Mus musculus: one gene and its partner. The protein of the gene in region 2 interacts with the protein of the main gene of each other region in a pairwise test. Links are inferred from orthologs where the notes say so. Each region holds a gene or a part of one and is shown on either strand. Other genes may lie near its edges.

Region 1 (2,766 bases), on a different chromosome or scaffold from region 2:
CTGCAATGTCACCACCCAGGGCCAGAGGTGGTGGATGTGGAAGCAGCGTGGGGGGCCGATAGCTCCCAACTTCACTTACTCTGCCACTGCCTTAACCCAAGCCCTAGACCCACAATGCCAAGCAAAGGCTCAGAGGGACCACGTGGCAGAGGAATGGAGAAGTGCAGCAGAAGGTAAGCCGCAGGCAGGCCCCGGTACCCCAGGGGAGTACATCCTGCCCAGGTCCAGCAAGCCCGCAGAAGCAAAACCACAACAAAACCCAAAAAAAAAAAAAAAAAACCCAAATACGCACACACACAAAACACAGGGACAGCCACAGGTCAAAGGTCACCAGAAGCACCAGCACTTTACGGCTGCACAAAACCTCACCAGGCACGGACAACACCACGGCACCGGCAAGACGGAAGCAGGAAGGGAAGAGGAGTAAGTCACTTTCGGTACAATTGCAAAAGAGATATCAAAGAGGACGGCCTCCGGTAGGCTCGCAGCTTGGCTTTTTTTTTTTTTTCTTTTTTTAAACTAAGTTTTATAAGTAATGTCTGATAACTCTGTGTATAAAAACTAAACTCCAACAGCCACAGCGCTGTCCCCAGGTTTACAAGAAAGGGATTTTTTTTTTAAACTAGCAAAGTTTCTACTATACTTTCTTCCCTTTTCCATGTATACGGTCAAATGTTTTTTTTGTTTTTGTTTTTGTTTTTTAAGACAATTTTATAAATACTCTGCAGCTTTTTTTTTTCGTTTTAGCTCTTAAACATATAATTTAATAACTCCGTAAAAGGAACTTCTCTTTTAAATAAAGGGCTATATAACCACACAAATAGGTCATGTAAACAGTGACACCGGACCCATCGGACACACAGACACACCTTCCACCCACACTCATAACCGGCGATTCGGTCTTGTCCGGTGCACTGTGCCAGGCTCCAGCACCATGGTTCCTGCCCCAGTGCCCAGGCTGGTGGCCTATTCACCCAGGGGCGTCAAGACATAACCACTTTTCAGGGCAGAGCCCATCTCTTCCTTCTGGATTAAGCTGAGAGCCCCACTGGACTTCTGAAAGGAAAGCGCTCAAATCCCACTGCAGACCACCAGGGAGACAAGGGCAGCCCCAAGACCAGTACACTTGCCCACGTGCACTCTCGTCCACTCCCACAGCGCCCACTCTGGACTCCTAGCCTGCACGGCCTTGGTACAAAGGGGTTAAGGGCAACCCAACATCACTGTTGAACTGGCTGATCCCAACGTACGAAACACAGGCGTGACAACGAAGATGATCAAGGGGCTCAGCCCAGTGCCCCTGGGTGCAGGTTGTGCTTTGCAGGGAAGGAAACAGGGAAGGGAGAGGAGAAAGGAAGGGAAATGAAAGGAAGAGGGACGGGGCTGCCAACTCTGCCACGCACCTAGTGGCCCCTCAAAGACCTGCCTGGCAACTGCACGTGTCCCTATGACCGAGCATCCGTCTTGGACTTTACTATTGTGATGACGCTGGTGGCAGCCACCTTGCCAGGAACCAGGGGCCCCAGGCCAGCAGCAAGGGGACCCCGAGCTGGGGCCACAGGGCTGCGGGCCACGGTCCTGGCAAAGTTCTGCAGGGCCTCGTACTTGGAGCGCAGGGCATCGAGCTCCAGCTTCATGCTGGCATTCTCCGAGGCCAGCTTCTCCACCTCCTGCTGGAGCTCCGCCTTCTGCTTCTCCAGCTCCTCCTTCTGTGTCACCCGCTTGACGCGGCAGCTGGCCGCGTAGCCCCGGTTCTTCAGTGTGCGCCTCCGCTGCTTCAGCTGGATGATCTCTTCCTTGGAGAGGCCTCGCAGGTGCTGGTTCAACTCTCGCACCGACATGGTTACCAGCTCCTCGTCGGTCAAGCTGGTGCCATTCTCGCCTGGCTCCCGCTTCACCTGGAGTGGCACAGCACACAGGGTCATGGCAGAGTAGGCATGCCCAGCCCGACGCACCCCAAGCCCAGCCTCTCTACTCACCTTTAAGGCCTTGTTTCCTTTATTGGGGGTCGTCATAACCCGGGGGACACAGTGAGCAGGCACTCTGCAAGACACAGAGCATAGGTCAGGACCCTGAGACTCTTTTACACCCCAACAGGAAGCTTGCTGCCTGGTGCTCAGCCCACAGAACCTTGCCCCTCACCTGACCTGAGCTTGGCTGCTTCAGAAGGCCCTGTCCCTAGAGAGCCAGGTGGGAGGTCGGGAGATTTTTTTCCCAGGGAAGAAGCAGGAGCAATGTGAAGGCAGAAGACAAAGGGAGCAGAGAGAGATTAGAAGGTCTGGGCTGCAGGAGGGGCAAGCCTAGAAGGAAGCTGAGCTTTAAAAATAACCCCAGTGCTGCCCCAGAGCGCCCTGTTCCTGGCGAGTCATGCTGACTCAGCGGATCGCCTCCCTCCCTTCCTGAGCCGTTCTCCCGGTCCTTTGGCCAGCCAGCAGTTCCCCAGGAGACCCACTACTGGGACCAACAGCAAGCAAGGATCAGCCAGGGACCCTGTATTCCAAGGTCCTACTTCCCATATATGTTCCCTAAGCTGGCCCAGGACAAAAGAAAGCCCTTTCTCCCTCTAGGACTTAGGTAGGAGGTTGCTTCCTGCCTCAGTCTGGCAGAGGATAAGGTTTGTTCTAACTGGCTGACTGGGAATCCTCTCACCTTCCAGGTAGCAGGCAATCCGGCTGGGAGGAGCTGAGCCCAGGCCCCTCCAGTCCTCCCCGTCCATCTCCTTTACAGATGGGGTAACCATCCTGTGGCTTGGTTGCAGCATCCTGT
Region 2 (4,211 bases):
CATCTTCAAGCTAACCCTGGTTCAAGACAAAATTAAGAATGATGTATTTATGAAAATCTTTTAAATATGCTGGATCATGACCGAGGAAAGGTCTAGAAATAAGGGTAACTACCCAAGTGTTCCCTTTTCCTGTAGCTTTGCTGAGCGTGACGCATCCTAAGTAAAAATAAATGTATATCTGGCTTTCAACGCTTCCTGTCAGTTCTAAAAGAGGGTTGTTCCTCAGCATTGTGTAAGGACCGCTGTTAGTACAAATGGAATTCCAAAGTGGTCCTAGTTATTTCTAAGGCAGAGAGACTGATGTAGCTGTGTTTATCCACCTACACATGGCTTTTCTGTAGTGTCTCAGAGATTCAGAGATGTGTCACCTATCTAGAAAGTCAAGTTTTTCTTAAGTTGTTCTCTCTCCCTTCATTCTGGAGAGGCCAATCTCGAATGTGTCTTTAAAAATAATCTCATATGTCTTATTCAAGATCAACTTCATCTCTTGCCTTCAACAAAGTATTTTATCTTTCCTAGACACCAGTGGGAAAGTAATGGATGCCCACCCCCGCAACCCGGTGCTGAAGAACCATGGAGTCTACTAACCATGAGCACTGTTAAAACAAAATGCTACAGTGCCACAGCTGAATCACTCTCACCATGTCTTTAAATCTGTAACTCAATTCAAATCCTTCTGGACTATCAAACAATGCTTTTTAGCTGAATTATGATCTTAAATGATTTCTTCAAGGTCTTCAAATATTTAAATCAATGTCTGGAAAGAACTAGAAATGTCCGGCTAACAAAGCTTTCACACGGCAGAGAAAGAAAGCAGCACAGCTGCCATTTTTGTAAATGAAATGTTATTCTACACAGGAAAGAGAAAAAAAAAAACTTTACAGTCAAAGTTCATTTGCACCGTGTATCCTGTGGCCAGGAAGCATTCCTTCTGATTACTCATGAAGAGCAGAAATCAGAAAATACAGTTTACTTATTCATCCTAATGAAAACCAGGCTACAACCCCAATCATTTCGGGGCCAAGTTCAAGGGAGGGGTAGAATTAATGCACTGTCAGTAACTTAAAAACTGACACCAGGACCTTCCAGGTCAGCCGAAAGCTTTACATTTAAACTAACTTACTCTTTACCGAGTTATACATTCCCTGGAGTTAAATGGTTTCTTTTCCTAAAAATCCAATTCCGACTCTTTTGTGTGTGTGTGTGCGCGCGTGTGTGCCAACATAAGCATTTACTTCTTTAAAACTGCCTGAAGTATAACCAGAAACTGGTTTTCACTTACATAACAATCTTCAAAACTTAGCAAGAAAGTGTTATGAAACGCAAGCGTCCCATTCGCTGTCTTCAAAGTGCGCAACATGCTAAGAAAATTGAGGCAGAATCTCAAACAGCAAAGAAAAATGTATTAAGGACACAAGCGAGGGATAATAAATAAATGTCTAAAAGCAAAACTTCTGCAACAGTATAAAAAGCAACAAATTCTAATCTATTACTCTTACCCTTGACGGCAAGGACCAGAATATCCTGCCTTATACATTTTGGTATTACAACTCTGTAATGCTAAATCCAAAGACAAAGCCGCCCAGGGGAAAATAACAATTGCGCAACTGATCAACAGCTCCAACTTGTCCCTTGGCCCCAGAGCAGCGAGGTTTGCACGCTATAGAGCAGGAAAGGGCCAACCGAGGGCCTCTGTGACTGCCAACTGGCCGATGTAAGCCAGCCAGAAGCCACAGCCTCGCACACTACGTGGGGCCCCGCGGGTCACCATACTCAGAACACACAGCCCAGCATGGGGCCCACTCGGACCTCGGAGCCCGCCGCCCAGGTCTGCACGTCCTTGCGCCCGGCGCGAGGCCATTCCCGGGTTCCCAGGCTGAAGGAGCGTGCGGAGCCCTGCCGGCAGGCCGCCCGTCGGGGCGCCAGAGCACGAGGGCCACCCGGTGACTTTCTCCTCCGCCCCCGGAGGGCTGGGCTTTTCTGGATCAAGACGGACAGGCGTGATCTTACAGACCAGCTCTCGGGCTGAGGCCGTAGACGGCCGAGCTCACCAAGTCGTAGAACGGGGGTTGGGGAGGGCTTCGGGCGGACGCCGAGGAGAGACCTCAGCTCCCCCGAGCGCGGCCCCGTGACTAGGCACATTTTTACCGGCACCGAATCAGGGAAACTACGCTGCCCCGGAAAAGGCCGGGCGGCGCCGGTTTAGACCGCCAGCATCCACCCCCCTCCCGCCTCTGCGCCTCCCACCCAGCGAGGTGGTGGTGTCTCTGCCTGGCCCCACGAAGTCAGAGCTTCCTCCACACCCCAACCTCGCCGCCCCTGGAGACCTCAGGCTCGGACCCCACTCTCGTCGCGGCCCCAACATCCTCCGTTGCCCTCCCAGCTCGGCGGGGCAGTTCCCAGGCCCTGCCGTCGTAGTCCTGGCTCAGACTGTCCCTCCCTCCCGGAGCCACTATCCCCTCGAGCTCCTGCCGGCTTCTTGGCACAGCCCAGGGGCCCGAAGGTTGGGGCAGCACCTGCTGGGACTGTAGTCCTGGCGGTGGCAACTCCAAGTCCATCATGCTGAGGGCGGACGCTGTGGTAGGGCTCCCCGACGGCGAGGCTACTTGCAGCAGAGGTGAGGCGGCGGCAATGGCTAGTCCGAGCAGCGGAGAACTAGGAGATAGCCTGCTCGCTGGAGTGGCAGGCCAGCCTTAGTCCGCCCCGCCCCCGCCCCCTGGGGGCGGAACAAGGACCTAGGGACGGGACAAGAACTTAGAGGCGGAGAAAAGGCTAGGGCAAGAGGCAAGGGCCAGAGGCAGGACAAGGGCATGGAGGCGGGGTAAGGGGCGGGGCAAGAGCTTGGAATCGCGTACAGGGGCAGGGCAAGGACCCGAGGGCCCCCCGCAAAGGCCTAGGGCGGGGCAAGGGGAGGGGGGGACAAGACGGGGGCCAGTGGAAGGAGCAAGAGCCCGAGGGCGGGGCATGGACCTGAGTGCTTCCGGCCGGAGTTCCCGCGTTCCCCTCGACCCCCCACTGTTGATCCTCCTCTCGCTGTCCGGGGCATGGCGGAGTCAGGTGGGCTGAAGTCGCACGGGGGGCGGAGCGCGAGCAGGAGGCCTTCGGCCCCCCCAGTCCTCTGTAGGACAGCACCCCCTTGCTAGAGATTAGCAGCTGTTTGCCGAAGGTCGCTCCAGCCCTGGCTCTTTGAAGCAGTTTAAACAGTTGGTGCAAGCACACCGGGAGCCCCGGCCCGTGCGCTGCTATCGGAGCTGCCACTCCCTGATTTGGACCTGCAGAACCTTGCCCGCTTTATCTCGCTCCACCGGCTGACTGTGGCGCCAGTTTCGGGGTTAGGGCTCTGAGCTGGGACCCGGACTTTGCAAGAGGCCAACTGCCCTCTGGCCCCAGGTCCCATTCAGTTGCTGGTGCTCAAACACCTCTGCCCCAGGGAGATGGATGAGTCCACGCTGCAAACTCGTGCTCGCTTACTCGAAGGCCCTCCACTTCTCCCACGTGCCCTGGGCTCGGGGCCCAAGCGGTCACTCAGTATCACTTCATCCACCCAGAGCCCAGCAAGCGGGCACAGCTCTAACAGAATCACCGAAGTGGATTCTAAGACTCTCAGGGTTCCTTTACACGTACTTACTCTATTTGGGAATTTTGAGGTATGATCTCATAAGGCCCCACCTCTCAAGCTGTTTTTAGAGCAGCGTTTCTCAACCGTCGTAATGCAGCGACCCTTTAATATAGTTCGTGTTGTGGTGACCTCCAACTAGAAAAGTATTTTTGCTGCTACTTCATAACTAATTTTGTTGCTATAAATTGTAATGTAAGTATCGGATGTGCAAAATATCTGAGATGCTTGGGGTGGCTCTCCACAGGCTGAGAACTGTACCATAGACTCTGCCACTTGGGTTTGGTGGTGGTGGTGGTGGTAGTGACTGTTTTCACAACGTTCATTCCCAAACATACTTCTTTAACTGCCCCCGAAAAAAAATCCAATTTCTAAAATAGTTATATGGGCTTAGAAAAAAAATCGAGGGATGTTTTAATGTGTTAATAGTTGAAAACCCAGAGTATTTTTATCTTTCTCTTTGTTGTTTTAAGTATGTTTGAACACAAATATCTTCTTTTGAATTTTTTTTTTTTTTTTTGGTTTTTTAAGACAGGGTTTTTCTGTGTAGCCCTGGCTGTCCTGACACTCACTCTGTAGACCAGGCTGGCCTAGA

The links.
Region 1: the proteins of Nfe2l2 (region 2) and Mafg interact in binary tests that used the Homo sapiens proteins (3 or more experiments, as listed by UniProt). The link is inferred for Mus musculus from reciprocal best matches to the Homo sapiens genes NFE2L2 and MAFG.

What each region holds. Positions count from the first base shown.
Region 1 is NC_000077.6:120,627,839-120,630,604, forward strand, and holds the end of Mafg (transcription factor MafG), read right to left. Parts: exon of another isoform or gene 2,762-2,766; coding exon of another isoform or gene 2,650-2,761; intron 2,179-2,649; coding exon of another isoform or gene 2,148-2,178; exon of another isoform or gene 2,143-2,147; intron 2,044-2,142; coding exon of another isoform or gene 2,016-2,043; coding exon 1,980-2,015; intron 1,899-1,979; coding exon 1,446-1,898; 3' UTR 510-1,445; downstream 1-509. UniProt on the Homo sapiens protein: Since they lack a putative transactivation domain, the small Mafs behave as transcriptional repressors when they dimerize among themselves.
Region 2 is NC_000068.7:75,701,848-75,706,058, forward strand, and holds the start of Nfe2l2 (nuclear factor erythroid 2-related factor 2), read right to left. Parts: upstream 2,817-4,211; 5' UTR 2,562-2,816; coding exon 2,517-2,561; intron 1-2,516.